Linked DNA regions of Drosophila melanogaster. Changing the gene in region 2 together with the main gene of any one other region gives a genetic interaction. Each region holds a gene or a part of one and is shown on either strand. Other genes may lie near its edges.

What was found. A genetic interaction does not mean that the proteins touch.
Region 1: of sli (region 2) and Abl, changing one enhances a phenotype caused by changing the other (phenotypic enhancement), as found in Drosophila melanogaster (4 studies listed by BioGRID).
Region 3: of sli (region 2) and mys, changing one enhances a phenotype caused by changing the other (phenotypic enhancement), as found in Drosophila melanogaster (2 studies listed by BioGRID).

What each region holds. Positions count from the first base shown.
Region 1 is NT_037436.4:16,644,828-16,649,434, reverse strand, and holds the start of Abl (Abl tyrosine kinase), read left to right. Parts: upstream 1-1,552; 5' UTR 1,553-2,291; coding exon 2,292-2,625; intron 2,626-4,607. UniProt on the Drosophila melanogaster protein: Arm and Abl proteins function cooperatively at adherens junctions in both the CNS and epidermis; critical for embryonic epithelial morphogenesis regulating cell shape changes and cell migration.
Region 2 is NT_033778.4:15,919,072-15,923,960, reverse strand, and holds the start of sli (slit), read left to right. Parts: upstream 1-1,842; 5' UTR 1,843-2,322; intron 2,323-4,889. Other genes in the region: bdg (bedraggled), read left to right, coding at 1-187, 250-778.
Region 3 is NC_004354.4:8,059,833-8,064,699, forward strand, and holds the start of mys (myospheroid), read left to right. Parts: upstream 1-1,812; 5' UTR 1,813-1,893; exon of another isoform or gene 1,894-2,248; intron 2,249-4,007; 5' UTR 4,008-4,125; coding exon 4,126-4,627; intron 4,628-4,700; coding exon 4,701-4,867. UniProt on the Drosophila melanogaster protein: Integrin alpha-PS1/beta-PS is a receptor for laminin. Integrin alpha-PS2/beta-PS is a receptor for Tig, wb and Ten-m. Contributes to endodermal integrity and adhesion between the midgut epithelium and the surrounding visceral muscle.

The DNA of each region.
Region 1 (4,607 bases), on a different chromosome or scaffold from region 2:
GCCTTCAGTTTGGATATCGCACAGTTTGCGATACTTGAACGACAGGCATTTTTGGTTGAAATTGAATTTGATTTACTGGAGAACTGTTTTCCTAAAATCACTTGTAGTTGGGGTCTGAGAACTTTGTACTTCTAAGTCTATACGCATATATATTTATAAAAACCTATATTAACGGAATATTAAACACGTGAAAACGGAATACCAACCAATAACAAAACACTAAGTTAGTCTATTGTTCCAAGATCCAGAGCGCAAATTGTTATTGTAAAGTAATAAACTGTTTTCAAATCTGTAAGAACAAACAATATTTATAACAGTCGAAAAGACGTCTGATAAAATGTTGCTGACTGACTGGATTAAGTCGAAGCATTGTCATAGTCACCAATAAAATATTTTTGAAATTTTAACATATATTCCAGTCAGTCAGTATAGTTTTAACCAGTGTGTCAGTCATGCTGCAATACAAAAAGTTCGATTCTGTTAGGGGAAGGCATTTATTTAGTTAACCTGTGTTAAATGCATTTGAATATTCCTTCAAATTTCTTGCTGCTTTTTGGTAACTTAACAAAGCCACAGAAAGTCCTTGAACGTAACAAAAAAAAAAAAAAAAAAGAACGTAAAATAATAATAACCAGAGAAAAATTAAATTATATTTATACTTGTAAGCGAACAGAACAGAAGAGATCGCATGTGAAAGAGCAAAACCGAGAAAATGAAAAGCAAAAGTCCTACTTGAAAAGTTAATTTAGTGTAAGCGAGGAAAATGTAACTGAAAATGAAATCGGAGCAGAAGCTGAAGGAGGATCGTGTGAATGGAGAGAAGGATCGATTGATACTGAACTCTAGCAGGAGAGAGAAATTGAAACGAACAAACTTGAAATTTCTGTCGGGTATACATACTAAATAATAACTAAGCAAGAACACTAAAGATTGAGAATGCTAAACAAAACCAACGGATAAATAAAACGTAACAAACGGAAAAGGATGGAAAGTATTGCAGTTGTATTTATTAGTCGGGCTAAATGGGAATTTATGAATACATCTAAAGGCATATTATAAAAACCGTAGCTTGATTATTCGATGTTTTTAAATGTCAATTACATTTTGATTTGAGTCAGTTTTCTCTTAAAATCAATAAACTAAACTAGGGTTGACGCAATAGTCGAAAAAATTCGAAGTGTATCCATGAAAAATTAAAGATAATGTTATAAGTTGCATTGCATTGAAAATCTAAAGAGAATAAACTTTTCCTAGAAAGCTATATCAAGATTCTTTTAATTCAAATTATGTGTTTTAAACGTTTGAATTTAATTTTTTTTTGAACAACCAAAAATTAGTGTTCACAATCATGGAGTTTTTAAGCACTGGCTTACTAAGCTAAGTTAACCACCCAACCAGTCCGTGTCGCGCACCCATCATATTGCATTAGCCGAGTTTCTTACCAAACTAGCGCTGCCAACGCGTTCGTAAGTACTAAGCATTTATTATCAATATCGATACGTCTATCGGTATGCTGCCAAGTAGGGTATGTTTAAACGACCGACAAGCGGTCACACGAGTGCAAGTTGGATTCCAATTCGATCCGTCGCGGTGCGTGGAAAAAATGCACAGATGTAGATAAATCAGCAAGCAACGCTAGCAGATCAGATAGAGCTATATCGTCGCGAAAACCGATTAATTTGCCATGTTCAGCGGATCAGCCTGCGGATCAATTAAACCGTAAAAAACAGAGCAGGCGAGCGTAAGCAAGAGAGAGAGGTGAAGCCAGAGGCGGAGGCGCAAGACAAAGTGCATTTTCAGGGCGTGTTTTTGAGACCCCCCTCGCCAGTTAAGCTCACCCAGCCTCCCAGCCGTCGACAAGAAGTTTGCCGACACAACATTTTACCAACATGCTGCAAATTCGCAATTGCACCTGAGCGGCCACTAGAACAACAAATCAGATAAATCGCAAACTTCCTTTTTCCTCCGTGCGTGTGTACTTCTGTGTGTGCGTGAGTGTCTCCAATCTTTTTTGTCTACTCCAAAAACGCAGAAAGAGAAAGAAAAATGTGTGCGTGTGTGTGTGTGAAATAAATTAAAGCAAAGCAAAAGGCAAAACGGCAAATAATTGAGCAAAAGGCCAAGAGAGAAGAGTTAAAGCTGAAGTATATAACAAGAAAAGCAAAGCAAATAATAAGTAGTAGTAGTAAGCGAATAAGCCGTAGCAGCAGGAGCCGAGAGAAGAGAGAGAAAAGTGTACAAGTTGTTGTTGCTGCGCAAGAGCGAAAAACCACCCAACCACCCACTGGCAAATGGGGGCTCAGCAGGGCAAGGACAGGGGCGCCCACTCGGGAGGAGGCGGCTCGGGGGCCCCCGTCAGCTGCATCGGCCTCTCCAGCAGCCCAGTGGCCTCCGTTTCCCCCCACTGCATCTCCAGTTCCAGCGGCGTCAGCAGCGCCCCCCTCGGCGGGGGCTCCACGCTCCGTGGCTCCCGCATCAAGTCCTCGTCCTCCGGCGTGGCCAGTGGCAGCGGATCGGGCGGAGGCGGTGGCGGATCCGGATCGGGGCTGAGCCAGCGTAGTGGCGGACACAAGGATGCACGCTGCAATCCCACCGTGGGTCTCAACATATTCACCGAGCATAACGGTAAGTTCCTGCAAGTGTTGGAAAACAGGCATCGAAAGCATGCTAAGTACACAGAGCAAAAAGCATATTTTCAAAATTTGAAAGCCTTGTTAAGTCAAATTAAACGAAAAACGTCTGTACATAGTGCACGCTCAATCAAAATCGTTTTTATAAAATTAGGTGTGCACTAAAATTTTGTTTTCTATTCGAAGTTATTTAGTGGTTTGATCATTTTGTGTTTCGATTTCTGTAAGCTTGACTTATTTCTCATTGGTGTTTCTTCTTTTACATTGGATCTTAGAATTATTTTCTTGCACATTGTAGTTTGAGTTAAAAAGGCATCAATCGTAGAAATCATCTGGACCAAATCGATCTGTATAAGTGTTGTGTAACATACATATAAAAGTCAGAGGATGCACAAACATGCATACATTTGGAGGTCCCATTCACTTACACACTAATTGTAAAAAATTGCATGCAGCCTCCAAACTCAGGTGTAAATTCCATCATAGTATTGTGACTTTTCTTATTATACATGGAAATTGTTGTTGCTGTATTGCCAATTGCTCAGAGTTGTGTTATCTCACATCCACCACAATCATTTCAATTCGTGATGAAATCTTTTGATATTCCATACAACAGTTTTTAAGGACATTCAAGAAATCAGTAACTAAAAACTTATTCAATGGGGGTACTTTCAATAAAAAAATGCTTTTTTAAGCGTGCTCTTGCCATTAAATCTCTTTTGTAAATATCATGTAAGTTTTGATTTATCTGCCAGTTTGGGCTGCACAGTGTTGTATTTATTGTTCATAAAGTGCAGTCCACTCGGCTTTCCCTTTCCCCCTCTCTCCTTCTTTATGATCCCCGCCCTTCCTCTATATACGCTGCTTTCCAATTGAGCCAATTTCTTTTTTCCTCCATTTCTTCCGATTATATAGGAAATTATTGTTGTTATTGCCGGCTAGTTTCATACTTGTTGTTGCTTTTCCGCTGCTTTTGTTTACTGGAGAGAAGGAGAATGAATGAGAAAGAAAAGTGAAGGAGAGAAGAGAAAAGAGAGAGAGCAGCACGCGTTGCTGTTGTTTTTGTGCTGCTTGGGGCGGTTTCAATCCGCATTCGTGCTCTCCATCATCCTTTATCCTTCGGCCTTCCTCGTGGCACCCTTATCCCTGCCACCCGCACAGTGGTTGAAATTGCGACCCACAACACCGTTATCCCACCCCCGCTGACATATTGCCATTTCCTCCACTTTTCCGCATTTCCCCTTGCATTTTTCCTGCCCTTCACGCACTCACGCACATTTTTATTTGCCTCATTTTTTTGTCTAATACTTTTCCATTATTTGCCCTGCCAAGCTGCATAATTTTTTCTTTACATCCTCCCCGTTTCCGCATTTTCCGCACACCCACTTATTGGGAGACATTTGCCGTTTCTAATAGCTTTTTTATGTCCATGTCGACGAAGTCCTACCACAATAGGACCCACAATCGGGTGGCATTCGGGATTTTCTCAAGACTACCGGAAAAACATTTGTCAGGTTATAATAGTTACGCAGACTCAGTGGTAGAACTTTTTTTTTAACAAAAAGCATAACTATGTATGAGAATACATGACGAGGGTCGTATTAATAGTAAGGTAGTTTTTTAACTTGAAATCGTGTTGCCTTATTCCCCTGACAATTGCAAGCCATTTTCGCAACAGCTGTTTCAAACTGAAAGTGGACTTTTCCGAGTTTTGATATTTACACGCGCGACAATCTGTTCCTAAATGTATTAAATCCATAAATTTGCTTAAGTTCGAAAATTGAAATTTAATCCTTTATTATTTTACTTTTTAACTTTTGATGTAAATACTTCCTTTTGCAAACTATTCATCTCCCAAACGAATGGCTTGGCCAAAGTATTGATTTTTCCTTGGCACTCCAAGCTGAGCCACTTTTCCCAGATGATTTACAATAAGCTGTAGATTTTTCTTCTTGCTCTTCTCAACTGGAAGCCATT
Region 2 (4,889 bases):
GTCCATCCGCTCGACAAACGGCGTCCCAAAGTCGTCGTAATGCTTTGGGCCAGACCACGGAGGGCGGCCAACACGATGCACAGAACGATGCTCCGCCAAAGTACACACCACCTCCGTCCTACACAACGGCCACTGGAGCCCGCCTTGCCAAGCTTCTGCGCCAGAGCATTCGCCGCAGCGTAAGAAGGTACATAAAAACCATCCCTTAATATAAACAAAAAGTTATTTACGACCAATTTATCGACACAGGGTTCTCGGAGACTCAAGTCGAACGCGACCCGTGCTCTCCCTCGATGCGGAGTCTGCTTCGCCAGCGGCGCCGCCTGATTACCTAACCATACTGACCAATCCGGCTGGCAGTAGTTTCAACGCGGATCCTTCGCCAGCTTCCAGCAGCAGTCCCGAGTCCATAGAGATCGACCAGCGACCCGTTGGCTACTCCCAACGCTCGCAATCGTTGGGCAGGAAACTGCATCGTTCGGGTGCTTCGACACTGGAGAGGCGGCCCTATACGGCGGAGGATGTGGTGACCATACTGCGCTCCTCGGTGCGACATCGCCAGTCGCAGGGAGGCGGAAATTTGGTCACTGCCAGCACCCTGCCTCGCCCCCCAACCGCCGCCATGTCCACGCACTTGGAGGACGCCTCATTCCGATCCATAGAGAATCTTGTGCTGAATGCCGAGCCACCGGACAGAACGCCCGGTGTGGAGCTGGAGCTCGAATTGGAGGCTGGACAGGCGGAGGAGTGCGCGCGAAATAATACATCTGTGATTTAACTGACTAATATCGTACCGTACATAGCGTAACTCTTATGCGATCCACATATCCGCTTGCTTTCTTAGACTTGATTAGCGCTAGTTATCTAAATACGAATATTACCTTGTAGTTATGCGAATAATAACGAAAACAACTAGTTGGTACTCCCAAGTGTGAGCTCTTTTGATCCCTACAACCGGTATTCCCAGTTCGATCCAACCCACCCCATTTAATTCCATTTCACATATATTTTAGGCTTACGGATCGCGCCTGTCTGCACAGTTGCCCTTAAAATTATCCCAACAATGGAGTAGGCCTCCTACGTGCCCAGCTCTCGAGGGTCAGCTATTTAAGGGAATACGTACTTGGGCCCTAAGCCGATTAACAAACGTGACCAGTTGAATAAAAAAAGTGAAAATAAACGGAAGTCCAGGATGGCGTAGCCAACAAAGGCGCCTAATGAGGCGGGCCAGGAAGTTGCTGCATATTTCGATTAAAATGTCACGCCATTTCTTTTGTTTTCTTTGTGACTTGCATATTCCAAAGGGATTGGCCTGCAAAAAAGTTAATCCGCGGAATTTTTAAATCAGCACGAATTGGCGGTTATTATTTTAATATCTGGCAGCGCTGGTTCAAAGAACCAGTTCAAATGGGTTGAGTCTCGGCTAGAACTTTTGTGAAGTTCACACAATAATTGATACCGTTATTTTTACTTATAATTAGTAATTTTAATGCTAGAAATACATAAATAACAATTGAGACCTATATAAAAGCAAGTGATAAGGGTTCTTATACAAGCCAATGTGTGTAGTACAACTACTCTATAATTTGGGATGATAGTTATAAAGTTTTAAATAAATATATATTTTCATGAAAATATTATCAACACTTTAATAATGAACGAGTTTTTGGACCCTTATTAACCATAATATTTGAAATTTAAGTTGGAACAAGAAACTTTTAAACTGTTGGCGAACGCGGTATTTTTTAGGCCCTTCTTGCCGGGTGAGGTTACTCCTGCATCTGGTAACACTGCTCGGCAGCGAAACAGAAACATAAAAAATTCGAACGGCGACGAGAGCGGTCAGACGCACGCATCACTTTCAATCGCGTCGCGTAGAGCGTCCAAAAAGAATTATAGTATAAACCAAGAGTGAAGATTCCGGTGAGCAAAGAATTTGCAATTGCCAAACTTAAGCAAAAACCATAAAGTGTGCATTGGCAATTGAAGTCGCGCGTTCTTAGCCAATCCACATTTGCACGGCCATTTTAAAGCCAAGTTAAGGCCAAAGTTTTCTGCCGCGCCGTCTTCGTAAGTCGCAGGTCGAAAAGTGCTCAAACGAGATTTCCACTTGAAATTCCTGAATTTCGTTTGTCTGCGCGAATCGCATCGAATCGAATTGAAGCACAAATCGCAGCAGCAGAAAAGCGCAAAAGTCGAATTTAAATTCCGTCTGCAAAGTGCCGAAAATTAGTGTCTTTGTTGTGTTAGTGTTTTGTTTCTTTGTCTGTGTGGGTGTTACGATTACGATTGGATTAGCGGTGTTTTCGCCTGATTAAAACGGTAAGTGTCCTTGCGATAATCCTGCGTGCAAAGTTAGTTAGCTGGTGCCAAGTTCGCTCGCCACTCACACACCTCCACCGCCGCCACTCACAACTTATTTTGCTGCAATTTGCTCTAGTGTTTTGTATTAGCATTTTTATGTCCCGCCTCGCCAAAGTTGACAAACAAAAACGTACACACACACACATACACGCACCGACACGTAAGCACACGCACACAAAGGATTTCATTACATTTTGGGTGGGACGTAACGGTAACGTTGAAGTGTAACGTATAACCCTCCCCTCGTTCTATCTCTTTCCCGCCCAAAGCCCCGAATGCTGTGCTACCGAATTTGTTTTCGCCTTCGCTCAGTTCTGTTTTCTCCTGTTTTTATTTATTTTGATGGCGTATTTTGCCATTCCGCTTTGTTCGTATTGCGTATCCTGTCGCCTGCGCTATCCTTCTACAGTCGCATCTGGCTAGAAGGAACTATCGTGTGCCTCAGTCACATGAAAAATATTACACTTACGTAGGTGATTTGATTTTTAAATGTATAAAGTCCCCTTCAAATTGCTAATTGAAAAATATATAAGTTCATGTACATAATCTTATTATGTCATCAATTAGAACCACAACATCTTTGGTTTCCCATTAGTATTTATAGTAACATTTTCTGAGCCCAGGGTATTCTGGTTTCACTGTACATTTTTCGCTGTCAGCTTTTCTTCCTAGTTTCTGCCAGCATTGAAATGAGTTCGCAATAAATATTGCCCAATGTCAAATAAAAGGGCGATGAGCCAGCCTTTTTCCGCCATGGCCCCTTTCCACCTCGGCCTATCTCCTCCATTCGCTCTAATCTCGGGGGACACTAATGCTTTACGACAATTCCTATGCCGTATGCCGCCCAGTACAAACTTAATGCACACATCAATGGCAAATTAGATATACTCCACAGCAAATGTACTAATAACAATCATCGAGTGCGTGTGCGGGCGGGCTTCCGATTCATCCCATACCATACCATACCATACGATACGATACCATCCCGAACCATTCCATCCCACACATACGTCCTCTCAAGACGATTGTTTTGTTGATTTGGCTGTTACTTCCAATACATTGGCATTTAAGGGGCAGAATTGGGATCCACTTATGTGCCTGCCTTATGTCTCATTTGTCGTCGGGCAAATGGAAATCGTTTTGTTTTTGCCTTGTCAAGTGACAAATTTTCATTGTCTCCCGCCACTAATCGCTTACTTAAAACAAAAAAAAAAACCAAAAAAATGAAGAAGATACCACGCCAAAGACTCCAAACAAGAAATAAGACAAGTGTAAATAAACACTTGAGGAGGAGGGAGCGTGGGATCGGGAGTCACGACTAACCGATATCCTCTGTACAGTGTGGGCGGGGGCATATACGCAATGACATTATCATAAAAGGTGCACATGCCAGAAGTTAAGTCGCGACAACTTTCCGTTATAACTTTCAATAACCTTTGTTGTTTGCTCCAATAAAAGCATTTTAATCGATACTCTTGACTTGTGTCAATCCATTCGGATTTGTTTTTGGTTACTAATGGATGTAATGTATGAAGTTATTGGGGCGGCATAAATTAAGAACTTATTTCCTTTGTGGATTTCACGTTACTAAACAGATGGTGATGTGACGCAAATGAAGTCCTAACAAAAGGATATTTATATATATGGTATTCTTTCGCCTAGCTATTTACCTGTATTTTCATATTTATAAAAATACTAAAAGGCCATTCATATTTTATATGGCGTGTGGTCTAATTACTTATTTTTATGACCTAGAGAAGCAAAGATTATAAATTAGCCGTTAAACATTCCTTTCCTCCATCGTACATACCTTTCGATACCCTGTAAATTCCAGTGTATGTACTTAGAGTACGCACACGTACTTGCCTCTTTTGGTGGCATTGCCCGCGGCACCTTCACTTGGCGCAGCTTGCCTTAATTTCCAGCGGACAAACCACTTTGTTATCGCCACGCCGAGGGCCCTTTAATCTCTGGTAGTCCCTGGTTGGCTGGTCAGACCCACCTCCATCTCCGTCGCCTGCCCATTGATTTACGTCTCTATTTTCCAAATGTAGCGCAATCGATTTAGATTGATTTTGTTTAAACAAACTGCACAGCGCAGCAGAAGCAGCAGCATAAAAGGCACCAGAAAGTGTAATAAATAATTGGAAACGGAATCGTTGGGCTGATTTTAATGCCAGCGTTAATTGCGAGAGCCACCCAATTTCATTTCCATTTCCATGCCCAATCGAAATCCAAATGCCATTCCCCAACCCTCCCCATACCTTCAACATTTTCATGCCGATGTAGCGATGCCCTAGGCCAATTCCAAATCCAAATCCAATTCCTATTCCTATTCCTATTCCATCGATGCTTTGGTAATTAGTTGTGAATTGGATTGGGGATCACATAAAAGTGTTGATTACACACTCCGATGGCTGCGCCCCCAGCCACGCCCCCTTCCCGGCTGGGTGCCAAGTGTTTTGTTTGTGTTTATCTCGTCTTCGACGTGTCTTTTTGGGTTTTTCAGAGGAATTAGGGTTAGC
Region 3 (4,867 bases), on a different chromosome or scaffold from region 2:
TAAACGCCACGTGCGCTGCACTTTTTAAACTTACTTTTCCTTTGGATTTTATCGTTCTTCTTTTCTTTTTGTTGTTTCGTTAAATCCACTCGTTCTGTTACTGTTTATTCGCTATTATGGGCGAATATATGTATATATCCGAATGACTTTTGATTTTGGCTTTGTTTATGGCCGCGCTGCCGCTGGATGTTGATTTTGTCTTAGCCAAGTTTAGCTTGTCGGTTTTGTTTGTTGTTGTTGCTGAATTGCGTTGTTGCTATTGTTGCTGAATTTTGAATTGAACATATACAACATACAGATTGTACACGATTGTTAAAAAGTTGCAACTGTAAAAATAAAAACAAAAAATATTGGTCACATCGGGCACTATTTTTTTTCTCGAGATTTTTGGATTTGCGCGCGCCAGAGAATGAGTGTGGCGTAAAGAGAGGGAGAAAGAGTAAAATCCCCAGCGACAAATGTAACGTAACCCACAACGTAAGCGTCTTCTGTACGTCACCACGCTACGTAGGCCACGTAACGGTATGCTAACGTTACCGACGGCGCCGCAAAACCGCAAAATCAAAAAATACAATAACAAAATCGACAAAATTATAGATTTTCAATGTGCACGTCGGTTTCTTTTTGCTAGCGAAAATCAACTAGCGCTAGTATATTTTGCTTTTGTTTTTTCTCATTTCGAGTGAAACTTTTCGCGCGCTTCTGCGTGTGTATTCCTCTTTTTTCGTTTTTTCTTCTTTTATTTGTTAATATTATTCACTTGGTGACTACACACGTTCATGCTCATGCCCCCTCACTCGACACACACACGCACACACACTGACGAACGTTTCTGCTTCTTGCTCCTCTTTCGTTCGCTTTTGTTCCACCACCGAAAAAAATGAAAAAAAAAATTTGTCATGTCCATTGAAGTCTCACATTTTTCAAATGCATTTTTTGGCGCTAAAATCTTATAAATTTCAACATTTTTCCATTCGCATCTGATCCCCCGCAATTAGCACTCCACTTCGAACACAAATTTATATAATTTTTGCCATTTTTTACCACAATTTTTAGTAATTTCTACACACCGATATATACGTACGCGCTACGATTTTTCGACAAACGCGCGAGTTTCTTCTGAGTCGCCATCAAATATACAAAATTTTTTTTCGAAATTACTGAAAATGCGAATACACACGCACACATGGACAGCCGACGGGCACGAGGCGCACGCGCTTGGTACATGCGGCTATGCCGCTCTAACGCACTGCTTTTATTGATAAATCGAGAGCGGGACAGCTAGAGCTACCGGCCGAGAGAGAGCATGTGAGAAGAGCGTTCTGTGCGAGTGTGTGTGATAGAGAGAGCCAGAGAGCAAAGTAGTCACACATACTCTCGCAAACTCATAGTGGCTTTCGTTCTCTCCTTTTCTCAACCATTTGCACGTACTTTTAGCTTTTTCATATGGCTATTTGGGAAATTCACCAGCAGTTTACACTTATGCTGTTGTTAGTTTTAATCCATTTATACTGGTAGAACGTAGATTCGTCGGCTACTTTACATTAATTTCGTAACGTAAGCGCAACAAAAACAAGGCTGTCATCGATATAAGCAGGCGTTTTTGTCTGAAACTATCGTGCAATAAGTGACTCCGATAACCAGAGTTCCTTTACGTGTTTCTCGATTACTTATCGGATTGTGTTTGCGAGCACAAATGTCTCTTTTAGCGGAGACACAGTCCTCCAAAACTGTGCAACACTGTTCCTAGGCTCGGTGTGACCAGAGCTATTTAACAACACTGGCGAACATCGGATGGCAAATATCGAAAGAACATTGACTGTTGTTCCACCCCCTGCTGACACCATCTGGTAACACTGAACAACAGACCAGATCCGCGGACAAAGCAAAGCAGTAAATATTAATTTAATCCAAATCCAATTCCCGACACCAATTGGCGGCCTTCAGCTGCTGCTTCTGCAGTCGAATTGTATTTTTTTTTTTGGTTTTTCGTGTCACCCGATAAGAGTTAAATTCGCTGATCTAGCGAATAACGGTGGCAAGTAATTGTAATAACTGCGTGTGTGCACAGTGCTAGTGTTTAGTGTGCGAGTGTGTGCGTGTGAGTGGGAACTCCACAAGTGTGCGAGAAGGCAAATCAAAATAAGAAAAGTGCCGCCCTGATGGAAATTAATATCGCGAATTATCAGCGAAAACGCAGCGAAAGTTAAGCCAAAGTGCTGCGATTAATCAGATAGCGGGTGAAATAGTGGGTATTACGTAAGAAATCAATGGATTCCGGGCTGCATTTGCCCAAAAAAAGAGGAAGCAATATCGAAGCGCTACTTTTATCTCCTCTTTTTTCGATGATTTCATTCGCAGTGACGACACACAGGCACGCACACACCGAACGCCGTATCTGTGTGTGGGTTGTTTGTTGAGCTAAAAAAAATAATGAATCCTCACGATACATTCACTCGTTTCATTTTTTTTGTTATTATTATTCATCATATTTATTTATTTCTTTGAGTGTGCATATCGGCGACTTCGCGACGCCAATTGCTGATTACGCCCCCTCCCTTTTCAGTGCAACTTCCCCACCCCGGAGATCTTGCACTCGAACTAAAAATCGAGTAGAGTACGTAGGCAGAAGCGAAAAGAGCGTACAAAAATCAAGAGCTCAGTGGCAGCAGCAGGAATTTGTGTTTGTCAGGGGATTGCCCAGATTTTCGGGGTAATTGTCCACTTTATAAACAGCCAACCGAATTTGAAACCAACTGTAACTGGAAGTAAAAACCAATTTTACCAAAGCTATCAAAAAAAAAACAATAAAAAAAATGAAATCCTCTGCGCGCCGCTGGTTTAACCAGTACGCCCACATGTGGGCGGCCCAGATGTGCCTCGTTTTTGGCCCAATGGCTGTGGGCGTCCATCCGTGGTTGAAACTATGCGCTGCAGATGCTGTTTACTCAGGCGGTTTATAGTATTACGAATTTGCTAGCTAAAAAACTGATTAAAACTACTACTAAGTGCACAACTCATAACTTTGATATGCTGTGACTGGGTGTATAAATGATAATCGAATGAAATTATTCAATCCAAGGGTATATAAACATGGGCTTAGTCGTTTTTAGTTTGTTTTCCTTTCGGCACACGATCTGCTGCAAATCAAGCTCTGTGGTGTGTTAGTGTTCGTTGTGTTGTGTGTGCGTGGGCGTTTAAAAATAGCCGACCAACACAACACCCATACGTATACGTAATCTGCAGCCCTTTTTTTTCCGTTCCGTGCATATGGAATTTTGATTTGAGTCTTGAGTGGCTTGGAGTGAGTGATTCATGTGGCTTTAGGCGGAAAGGAAACCCAGCGAAGCTGACTCAATGACCACTCATTGTTCGTTCGGCCTTTGTTTACATTTTGCCAGGAGCCAAGAGAGCGAGAGAGCGTGCTAACGGAACGTGCTCGAATGAGTAATTCGCATTGCATTTGACGTTTATCGAAAGCTCTCTTCCTTCCGCTTTTTTCCTTTTCTTTTCGGAGGCCAACAAAAAAAAACAACAAAAGCACGCAGGCACGCACACCCACACACAAGTTCGTACATCAATCGCTTGGTGTGTGTGTGTGTTTGTGAGATGAGTCATCTGGCCAAGTTGATGAGAAAATAAAATTAAACATTAAGGTAGAGCGAAAGAAACAACAAAAAAAGGGGACAGATGTGCGGCCATTTGCTGTTGTTTGTTGTTGCAATAAAGAAAAAAGCAGGGCACGCGGAGAAAGCAGTGCTCGACAAGCAGTGCAGTCAGCAGCTGGACTTTTACGTACACCGGCGTTCGTAAAAATTGCAGCGAAATCGAAGAAATCAAATTGTGTCTTAAAAATAAATGAAAGATTAAGGCATATAAAAAAAAATAATATAAAATATGTAGCATTAGAAATATAAGTGAACCAGGAATGGCTTTTATAATAATTTCTGCCCCTTACTTAACATCTAGTGCTAAATCCAACAATTTTAATTCACTTACCATTGCAGCCGGCGCACAGAAGCGACAGAGACAGAGCACACACAGCACCTGGCACATCCAAGGATATCCGATCCTCCTGCATCCCGAATCATCCACAACCTGCACCAACCGCTAACCGCCAAAGCCATGATCCTCGAGAGAAACCGGAGGTGCCAGCTGGCCCTCCTCATGATCGCAATACTGGCCGCCATCGCTGGACAAACGGATGCCCAGAAGGCGGCCAAACTGACGGCAGTGAGCACATGTGCATCGAAGGAAAAGTGTCACACCTGCATCCAGACAGAGGGTTGCGCCTGGTGCATGCAGCCGGACTTTAAGGGCCAGTCGCGGTGCTACCAAAACACCAGCTCACTGTGTCCGGAGGAGTTCGCCTACAGTCCGATAACAGTTGAGCAGATTCTAGTGAACAACAAACTAACGAATCAATACAAAGCTGAACTGGCGGCTGGTGGCGGCGGCTCCGCCATGTCCGGCAGCAGCTCAAGCTCCTACTCGTCGAGTTCGAGCTCGTCGAGCTTCTACTCGCAGAGCTCCTCGGGATCCAGTTCCGCCAGCGGATACGAAGAGTACTCTGCCGGCGAAATTGTCCAAATCCAACCGCAGTCCATGCGACTCGCATTGCGCGTCAGTGAGTAGCAAACGATTGCATCATCCATGTGACCTACAAACTAATCCCTTACTTGCTTATCAATACACCTTAGATGAGAAACACAACATCAAGATTAGCTATTCCCAGGCGGAGGGATATCCGGTGGATCTCTACTACTTGATGGATCTCTCCAAATCTATGGAGGACGACAAGGCCAAATTGTCTACGCTGGGCGACAAGTTGTCCGAGACCATGAAACGCATCACCAACAATTTCCAT